Oryzias latipes: one gene and its partners. The protein of the gene in region 1 binds, or shares a complex with, the protein of each later gene. Links are inferred from orthologs where the notes say so. Each region holds a gene or a part of one and is shown in the gene's direction. Other genes may lie near its edges. The genes, in order: timm10, timm29 and timm9.

Region 1 (3,757 bases):
GTCAGTTTTCATGGTTGTGCTTTTTTTTCTAGCACAGAAGTTGTGGAGGTTGGTCCTGGTTTGAATTCTGGCTGGTTTCTTTCTGAGTGGAGATTGTGTGTCCTCTTGGTTCATGCGTGGGTCTTCTCTGGTCTTCTCTGACTTCCTCTCACAGTCCAAAAGCTTCAGGATTGCTTTCTTGGATTGTCCTTTGAGTGCGAGTGTATGTTTGTCTGTGTGGTTGTGTTCTTCAGTGGACTGGTGTGCTGTCCCGGGTGTTCCCTGCCTTTGCCCTTTGTTAATGCTGCAGTCACATGCACCCGTGCGGGGGCTCACCCGATGGGGTGCTGCAAGTGTTAGGGTTGTCGGTGCCCATGGGGGGGCAGAGAGAGGAGCAGCCACATCTTACAGGGAGCTCAGGTTTGTCTTGCAATTCACTTGAGGCTCCTACAGGCACCTAAAGGGATGTTATGATTATGAAAATGGAAGGTACCATTGTTGTGTGTGGGGAAATGGTAAGTTATTTGTAAGAATAATGCAAGTAAAGTGCAGTTATGGTCTCATGCTGTGCCTTAATGTCGCTCTCTAGTCTGAGGTGCACGCACCGGCTCCTTACTGACTGCACAGAAGTGCTGCACACACGGGAGATGTACGAAAAGCATCAGTTCTTCGTAGGACGTCAACACAAACTAAGCTGTATCATTTCCTCATTTCTAACAGGCTTCATGCCTGGAGCACATTTATCACCTGAACAGCACTAGCAGGCCCCATGCACACGGTTCAGGGGCTTGAAAAAATGACATCCTCTCCACCTGTACTTTTGTTTGAACATTTGCTAATAGCATCAGGAAATGTATCAAGTAGAATTTGGAATTTAGCTTATTTTCATAATCAGCAAAACTAAACAGGATGTTGTCCATGTAAAAATGAAAAGGGAATTAATTTGAATCCTAAAAGTTGACTTTGCTCCTAAGTCCAGTTCTCATGTCCGGTCAAAGCTCTGTAGTACAGATATGATCCACAGGGGGGCGCGCTGATTTAGACTCGACCTTTTTAAAGTAAACTTTATTTATACCGGAAGTCAGACGCGACATCACACGTGTGTTAGGATTTGAAGGTGACAGTAGCATCGCGGCTTGCTGTTATCCAGCTGGAGAGGGTCACCGGCGCTGGGCTCGGTTGTGAAACGACACGGAGGGCGAGAATGGATCCTGTGAAAGCGCAGCAGCTGGCGGCGGAGCTGGAGGTGGAGATGATGGCGGACATGTACAACCGGTAGGTCTTCATCTCTGTGTACCGTCATATGACATGCATGCGGACACACACTCTGCAGCACCATCATCCATTCCCGACCACCATCCATGGCCGTGTTAAAGAGGGTCTTCAGCGCCAGAGACAAACAGCCTGATCCATTTAGGCCTTTGCTTGACATCATGAGACGGACACAACAATGAATGGGATTTTTTCAGCACAGCTTCGCCATAATCTACAGCCATACGGAACCCTGAATATCTTTTTTTAAGTCACCTCATTCTGATCGTCTGTGGCCAGGAGTTAGTATTCTGTATTCTCACATTCGCATTTTGTGCATACATATTGACATGTTGTAGCCTCACATTATAGGAATTAAAGTTTTTATTATATAAGCTGTGCACACAACACAAAAAAGCAGTGTGCACATAATATTTGTTTTTGCACACAAAATGCTACTAAAATGTTGGCCACAATCGAATCTATACAGATTTATAAATGTATTTCTTGTTTATGTCATGCCCAGGGCTTCTAATGGCTGCTTTTTTCCATTAATGTCACCCTAAGGGACCTGCGTGACTTCCTCTGACCTGAAAACATGCCGGTAATTTAGTGCTGACCAAAGCAAAGGCAGCGCTGTTGTTCTGTGTCTACTGATGTTTGCAGCTGGACCTCCTGGGAGCAGAGGAGGCTCCTCATTCATTCCCAGCAGATGCATTTCACTTTCTTTAACCCACTTATTTATATTTTAACTTTATTAACTAATAATGCACATACAAAATACCAAACACAAAACTCCACCACACAGTGTGCAAAATACCATTTTCACATTCACCAGGAAAATGAACAAAAAAATTGAAAAACGATAATAATGATGATGTAAAACAGGTTAAGCAAAAATAATAAAGGCAAAGGAATCTGTTTTTTTCAGAAGAGACCATGTTTCAACTGTAATGACAGCTTTTTTGTTATACTGTTTACACACAGTGCCATTTCTTTCTGGAAAACATAAAATACCGTTTTTTTTTGTTGTCATATTTACACTTGTGTATAAAGTATTTAGCCATAATTATAAGTAAATTAACTACATATATTTTCTCTGCATCAAGTTTCCCTATGTGTAAAATGTCCAAAAATAATATGGTATCATAAAATAATCTATAATCTTCACATAGATTTTAAAATCTATCAAATCTTTCCAAAATACTTGAGTGAAGGAGCAAACCCAAAAAAGATGAGACACAGTTTCTGGTGAGGAATGACAAAATGAACAATTTATTTTCAGATTTCTTTTTTTTAAACTTGGTAATGAAGTGTTTCACTGGATAAGATTTATGAAGAATTTCGAAAGATATTTCTCTGATTTTCTCTGATTTTCTTGGTGATGACATACTTTTGGGGCAGGGACCAAACCTTTTCCCCCTGAATTCTACAGCCAAACCTATTCCAGTGTGAGATAACATACGGTTTTGTTGTAATCTCATTTTGAAACAGAGAACGGATACTTTGATTATTCCTGCCAGCTGAAAAACAAATCTTTCCACACCACAATTCTGTTCATTTGGGAGGAGAACATGGAGTATTTGAAGGAGAACTGCTCCACAGAAGTCTAACAGCACCTGGGATGGCTCCAGTAACCAATGCAAGCTCTGCAGGGGAGACATGCAGACTATAGGTGGACAGAAACTCAACAGATGACATCAGGTTACATGGTGGATTTACAAGAAAAATGTTCTTTTCAAACCAATTTTCAAGAAAAATCCTCTTGTTTTTGTATAGAATATCTGCATTATTCCAAATATAGTAGCGATGAGGAGAAACATTATGTTTGTAGATCAAAGTCCATGCCAATAAAACCTGCTTATGAAAATTAGACAGCTTCAAAGGAATTTTCCCTATTTTGAAATAACATAATAGAAGAAATGACAGACCTCCAAACTTATCAAATATATATTTCGGTATGAAATTCCAAAATGAAGTTTTTTAACTATTTAATTTTGAGGACATTATTTAGAGTGGAAAAGTCAAGAAATTCAAGTTCTCCGTCTTTTGATGAATTAATTACTACTGACTTTCGAACATAGTGGATTCTGTTTCTCCAAAGACAATTAAAAAGTATCTGATCAATCCTTTTTGCATTTTTACTGTCCAGAGATGGTGAGGAAGCAATGTAAACTAGTCTGGAAATCCCTTCTGCTTTTGCTAAGAGAGCACAACCTTTTGGTGAAAGATCTCTTTGTAGCCAGCAGTTAAACTGATTTTGTGCTTTTGCAATCATAGAATATAGTTATTCAGTTCTCTTTGTTTTTGATCTTTAGTTATCTGCAATCCCAAATATGTGACATTTTCTTTGACTACTATACTATTTATGGATGTTAGAGCACATTGAGAGGAAATAACTCACATTTCTTTAGGTTTAGATAAAGTCCAGATGCTTTTGAAAATGTATCTATAACTTGAAGAACCCTGGCAACCTGTGAGGAGTTTTTCAAGAATAATGTGGTGTCATCTGCCAGCTGACTTATAA
Region 2 (3,757 bases), on another chromosome or scaffold:
AAAAAACGAAAAAAAGCAATGAGTAGATAGAACACCCCCCCCCACACACACACACACACACACCCACACACACCCCATTCACCCATACTGGGTCATCAGTGGAAGCAGACCAGCACCAGTGTGGGGTTCTGCTGCTTTGCTCAAGGACACATCAACACACCTGCTCCCCCTCTGCCCCCCTGATCCCTTGGGCTGACCCAGACTGACAGAAGCGGAGCTGGAACGTCCCATTCACCTGTGGAGCAGGTAACTCACCGTACAGGTCCGGGCCGGTCCTGACGTGGTGTTTGAGGAAACTTCTTCCAGGTACGGGCATAACGGCGCCCCTCACCCGCTCTAGAACCTACATCACAGCACCGGGTGACCTCCTGGCACACGCCCACACTCTACAGGTGTGCAGACTCCGCCTCTTACCTGCATGGTGTCCACGTTGAAGAAGGACTGATAGTACTCGAAGGTCCAGAAGCCCCCGCCCTGCTTCTGCCCTCCTAGGAGCTGACAGAACACAGGTAAGTCAGCCGCCGCCTCCCCAAGCTCCTCCTCCTGCACAGGAAGCTCACCTCCGCGCTCTCCTCCTGAGCCTGCTCATCCTCCGACAGATCCAGCTTCACGTCCCCCCCCCCAGCAGGGGTGGTGGGGGGCACGGACATGCTGAGGGTGGAGGCAGTTGGGTCGGCTGACAGCAGCTGCGCCGCCTCCTCCAGTTCTGCAGACAAACCAGCAGGTTGGGGGGGGGGGGGGGCGGGGGGGACAGGTGAGGTGGGAGGGGCAGGTGGGGCTGCAGATGATGGGGTCTTCTGGGGTCCTCAGGCTTAGCAGAACCTTCACTCAATTCTTTACAACAATTCAGAAGCTTTGATGTTTCTACCGTACAGTTCAAAACTTTTGAGGTGACATGCGCACGCGCAGCGGGAGCCCCTAATAACCCAGTTGCCTAGGTAACAGCAGAAGCAAGCCATACCCTCGAATTTCAGGTCGTTCGGACTCGTCATGGTTCCGGATCCACCGGGAAACGCCGTAAATCAGTCCCAGCTCCGCCGCGCGCCGTTCGAGAAGAGGAGCAGCCGCGAGGCCCCGTTTGATCAGTGACGACAGGCGCACGTGAGGGCAGTTTTTATAATAGATCAGCTCAGAATATGCAGCAAGAATGGGCCGGATGCGCATGCGTACACGTCATCGCGTCAACAACGAGTCACGTGCTCACATCCGCGTCCGGTGAGCGTCCTGTTTCAGGAGCATGCGCACTGCAGTCCAGGAATTTGCCCAGTTTTTTTTAAATTCAAACTTTATTGAATGTAAAAAGTCAATACAAAACAATGTTAAACAGTGAACAACAACAACGAAGGAACAAGCCAGGGGGTTAATACATTTTACGCAGATATATTGAAACTGACACACAGATCGAATGTTTTTTTTTAAACATATGTTTATTAAAGATTTTGGCATAAAACAACATACATTTGAACAACCACTGAGATGAAAAAACAAACAGGAAGAAAACAATCAAAAAAGAAGAAAAAAACAAAACAAAACAAAAAAAAAAAACAGACACACAGAAACCAGGGCTAGAAATGAGAGTCTATAAAGGAAACTTAACATTACACTGCAATTTGAAAAAATCCTTTCCAAGTAATAAAGAAAAATAAAAAAATAAAAAGTGGCACAATTAACTCTGTTGTGGGCGGGTTGTATCTTTTTTATACTTGGTTAAATGATCCAAAAAAGGCTGCCACACATCAAAAAATACATTTAGCTTATTTTCCAGAACAGTTCGAATCCTTTCCATGTGCAGAACACTGGTGAGTTCAGAAAGCCACATCTTAAATAGAGGCACAGTGTCAGACTTCCATAATGTCAATATAACAGATCGGATGTTTTGATGGCTTTCTTATTATCAGAGTCTCTTATTGTCTTAATGTATTGTTTGAACTCCTTGATAAAGATTGAGAAATGAGGAGTATGATTCGTAACTTTTGATTTATGAATGTGCCATTTCCATAAAACAACAAAAGGTTAATGAAGAACAACTGTTCTTTTTTATGAGATGGACAGTGGGTGATGCCAAACATAACATGTTTTAAGTACAGGCGAAAGTCAGAGTCAATGTGGGCGGAAATGAAATGACAAACTTTAGACCAGAGAGTGGTGGAAAAGGGACATGACCAAAATAAATGTACAGCATCTTCAGGCTGTTCTTGGCAAAAAGAGCAGCAAACATCAATATCTTCCTTGAACCTTTGCAGATATAGTTTGGTTGGATAGAATTTATGAATTAGTTTAAATGAGATTTCTTTCACTTTATTGGTTAAAAAGTATTTTGCTGGTAAATTCCAAATCTTTTTCCATTCTAAATGATAAACTAAATTATTCCAAAAAGAAACTACGTGGAGACAACATCCTTCTGGGAGAGTGAGCGTTTACGGCGATTTGTGGTACGTGAAGAAGAAAAACAAATTCGTCCTATTTCTATTTTAGTCGGATCAATTGGTAATAAAGTTGGACTTTGCAATGATGAGCTTTGGAATAATGTAATAATACATTTAGGAATTGCTTTCAAAACAAAGTTAAATTCAGATTTTGGTATTTTGATGGAATATTTGAAGCAGAATTCTTCATGTGACATTAAAGCTCCGTTTGAATTAAACAGCTGATGAACCAAAAGGATGTTTGGATTAAACCATGATGGATAAAATAAAGATTTATGTCTATAAGTAATGTCTTTATTGTTCCATATGTAGTATCTGTGAGGAGAGAAATTGTGTTTGTAGATGAGGGACCAGGAAAGTAACATTTGTTTATGGAAGCAAGAAAGCTTAAGTGGGATCTTTGGTACATTATAGTTACAGAATAAAAGAAAGTTTATGCCTCCTAATTTGGAGAAAATGTAATTTGGTATGAAATTCCAGATTGAAGTTGGATTCTAAATAAAATGTCTTAGCCAATTTATTTTAAAGGTATTATTTAATGTACAAAAGTCTAGAAAAGTTAAGACCACCCTTATCGTAAGTGTTCATTACTAACACAATGAGACGGGTTCATCACTTTAATCCCCAAACCTAATAAAAACACATTATATTTGGATAATTGGAGACCAATGACTTTGTTATGCAATGACTATAAAATTTTAGCTCATGTTTTTGCAGAGCGTCTAAACGAGGACTGAAGGATGTAGTGGATGAGTGTCAGTCAGCATTTATTAAAGGAAGAAATATTCATAATCACATCAGGTTGGTGGTAGATTTGTTGGATTATTGTGACTTTGTTGACCCAGATAGTTTGATATTATTTCTAGATTTCTATAAAGCATTTGACACATTGGAGCATTCCTTTTTAATTAAAGCCCTGACATTTTTAGGATTTGGTGATAAATTTTGTAATATTATTAACATAAGATAAGATAAGATAAAGATACTTTATTGATCCCAGCTTGGGAAATTCAGTTGTTGCAGCGTCGGCTTTAGGCTCAAGATACAAACAAACACACAATAGACGACAGAGAACCAGAACAATCAATCAGAAAGAAACATCAGTGAAAAAGAACAGTTGTATTGTGTGCCACATCAGGAGAGAAAGACAGACCATAAATGACTTTATGTATTGCACATGGATGACGAGTTCTAGAGTCCAATGGAGTGAGGTAGGAAAGATCTCCTGTAGCGGTTGGTGTGACAGTGAAGCTGCCTTAGCCTGTTGGAGAAGGTTCTCCACTGACCGTCAAGAACAGGATGGAGAGGATGCTCAGGATGGATACCAGCTT
Region 3 (2,574 bases), on another chromosome or scaffold:
TTGTTTGTTTTCTACAGTTACTATTATCATAAAAATGCTGGACGAAGGTGAAAGTTTCCACACATTTAGAAGAAGAGAAAACCAACAACAACCTCCACTTCAAGCTCGATTACAGACTCGGTTACTCGGTTACACGTCAGTGATGTAAACGTCTCTCATGACTTGGTTCGTGAACGTCTGATGATTCTCCAGAAAAGCTCTGGACTGTGAAGCAGTTTTTCTTCTTCTTCCACGCCTTCTTAGCGTTTAAGGTGGTATTTTTTTCCCTGTTGACCCCCATTTCTGCTCTGTGTCCCACCTTTTCACTGCCTCTCTGCATCTGGAGAGTTTGTTGATTCTGTTTGTTTGTGTGTCTCCCTTTGCAGAGCGGCGACCATGGCGATGCAGGTGTCTGAGTCCGATCAGATCAAGCAGGTGGGCCTTTTATTTCAAAACCTCAAGAGTGCAGAGATGAGAAAGTTCCTGCAGCTTTCCCGGCATCCCGCTTAAAGCGAAGTCGGTCACGCTTCAGCGTTCATTTCCGCCAGGATGTGGTCACTGAGGCGGAGAGGAGTAACGACCTGTTCTCCGCTGAAGGTTAAGGACGTGTAAATAAAGCAGATAATAGAGAAAGTGGGACTGCAGCTAAAGGTGAAGGCTGGAGCGTCATGTGACGCACGTTCAAGAACGCGTCAACCTTTGTGCATTTAGCCCACGGTGTTCACACTGGACAAGCAGGGAGGGGCTACTTGTTTTTCCACAGTTTACTGTCCACCCCCCATGTTTACTAGCGGCATGGCGTGAAATGTCAAAGCGGTGTAAATCCCGTGAATCTCGCTCCACGTTTTTTTCTTTCACAACATTCCGATATTTTAAAGACTTGGCGTTGTAGAATTCCAGCTGGGATCAAACCGCAATTATTCATTTCTCTCTCATGATCAACGTTCAAACGGTTTGTACTTCTATGAGCTAAAAAGGGCTCCATCCAAGCGTCGATACCAAATCCCTGATTGGTCAAAGTAGGACCTGGTTTAACTGGCAACGTGTCTTCTAGGGCCGCGCGTTTAGTACGTACGCAGGTTGCCGAGCGCGTCGAGCCTCAGACGTTTTTCCTGCAACAAAGCCACGTCGCCCACGATGCCTTTAAGTCTAGAATACTTGTTTATACCTCTCCCAGATCTCAGTCAGCTGTTATGGTGCTTTTATTTTCTAAAACCATACATTAGATCCATAACTTCTTCTAAAAACGCAGCCTCCACAGAGGAGCTGTGGCCAAAGAGAAGCGGGGGGTCTCTTGTCTCCCCATTTGTTGTTTCTGACTTGTCTGGTTTTGTCTTTCAGTTCAAGGAGTTTCTGGGAACCTACAACAAGGTGACGGAGAACTGCTTCATGGACTGCGTCAAAGATTTCACCACCAGAGACGTCAAACCAGAGGAGGTGAAGTCCCCGCTTCTGTCTGCCTTTTCCTAATGAAACCACACACGCCTGTCGTTGATACAAGCCGCCCCGACTTCAGAATCGCCTCGCGTTTGATATATCAGAGAAAAAAAATGCAGGGCTTCGTTTGTTTGTAGAGAAACGTGAGTTTATACTCTCATGAAAGGCAACAATGAGTCCATTTGAATCGGCAATATAGCTGAAACTCTTTACTGACGGATTAAACTAACTGCCCTTTGTAGTTCAGTACGGAGCCTTAAAGGGACATTGAAGGACAAAAAACAACTGATTTAAAAAACATAAACTAACTGTTAATTTCTTCTTCTTCAATGTCCCTTTAGGGGCTCCGTAGTCCAGGGGATCTTTTACTTTTTTACAATAAGCTCTTATAATTGATCTTTACGGCAGCTTTTTGCAGCAATGCTTGTTATTCCTTTTTAGCACAACCCCAGACTCTTATTTTATATATATATATATATATATATACATTTTTTAACAGATATTTTTTCATTATTTTTTACAATGAACCTGAAAATATACCCCCAAAAAAACACAATTCAGAGCCGTAAATGTGGTCATTTTTTACGGCAAAAAGGCCGTCTTGGGTTTCTTAAGCTGCACTTTGCTGTCCGTTCTCTCTTCACTACAGGAGATCTTAATGTAATAATTTATTCTTAACTCTACTTTATCCTTTACAGAAACAACTGAATGTCTACATGAGGTTTAGTGTAAAAACAACACTCATGCTATACGTGTAGAAAATAAGGATTTTCAACTCACAGACACACCTGCTCCACTTTGAAATAATTAACTCCAAGTTACTGTGGTGTAAATACAGCCACAAACCAAATTGAAACAATTTATTTTTTTTACTGTATAAAAGTTAGTAGAGTCATATTTCTACACTACCTGTAATGATCTTAAATGAGGCTGGAGGCTCCGCCTCTGTCATCTCATCAGGTGTGTCCTCTTCAACCCGATTAGAGGGATCATCCATTTCAAGATCCACATTAAACTATTTTTCTAAATCATCTAATTCGTCCAAATCCCTCCGTTTCTGCGTCACATTTGTTGTTTATGTGCGATTCCACGTTCTGCTGGCTCACGCAGAAACGCGCAGGCAAGACGTCGTCGCTCTTGCTCACCGATTTCACAAGC

What was found.
Region 2: the proteins of timm10 (region 1) and timm29 are in contact, whole or in part, in a cryo-EM structure (PDB 7CGP), measured with the Homo sapiens proteins. The link is inferred for Oryzias latipes from reciprocal best matches to the Homo sapiens genes TIMM10 and TIMM29. Residues at the interface, in NP_036588.1 of Homo sapiens: His30, Arg31, Lys32, Cys33, Pro35, Pro36, Leu43, Ser44, Lys45, Gly46, Glu47, Ser48, Val49, Arg53; in NP_612367.1 of Homo sapiens: Asp181, Asp183, Ile184, Asp186, Phe189, Leu192, Leu196, Arg197, Val199, Gln203, Leu204, Ser206, Asn209, Glu210, Leu212, Phe213, Asp214.
Region 3: the proteins of timm10 (region 1) and timm9 are in contact, whole or in part, in a crystal structure (PDB 2BSK), measured with the Homo sapiens proteins. The link is inferred for Oryzias latipes from reciprocal best matches to the Homo sapiens genes TIMM10 and TIMM9. Residues at the interface, in NP_036588.1 of Homo sapiens: Glu16, Met17, Asp20, Met21, Arg24, Ala28, Cys29, Lys32, Cys50, Arg53, Cys54, Ser56, Lys57, Tyr58, Asp60, Ile61, His62, Arg64, Met65, Gly66, Lys68, Leu69, Leu72; in NP_001291414.1 of Homo sapiens: Lys15, Leu18, Gly19, Tyr21, Asn22, Lys23, Thr25, Glu26, Cys28, Phe29, Leu30, Val33, Asp35, Phe36, Thr37, Thr38, Arg39, Glu40, Val41, Glu45, Thr46, Glu50, Leu53, Leu57.

What each region holds. Positions count from the first base shown.
Region 1 is NC_019859.2:27,362,254-27,366,010, reverse strand, and holds the start of timm10 (mitochondrial import inner membrane translocase subunit Tim10), read left to right. Parts: upstream 1-1,065; 5' UTR 1,066-1,183; coding exon 1,184-1,254; intron 1,255-3,757.
Region 2 is NC_019866.2:25,850,370-25,854,126, forward strand, and holds the start of timm29 (mitochondrial import inner membrane translocase subunit Tim29), read left to right. Parts: upstream 1-1,130; 5' UTR 1,131-1,215; intron 1,216-3,757. Other genes in the region: protein YIPF1, read right to left, coding at 256-343, 415-495, 561-706, 962-992. UniProt on the Homo sapiens protein: Component of the TIM22 complex, a complex that mediates the import and insertion of multi-pass transmembrane proteins into the mitochondrial inner membrane.
Region 3 is NC_019880.2:2,465,348-2,467,921, forward strand, and holds part of timm9 (mitochondrial import inner membrane translocase subunit Tim9), read left to right. Parts: intron 1-365; coding exon 366-414; intron 415-1,320; coding exon 1,321-1,416; intron 1,417-2,574. UniProt on the Homo sapiens protein: Mitochondrial intermembrane chaperone that participates in the import and insertion of multi-pass transmembrane proteins into the mitochondrial inner membrane.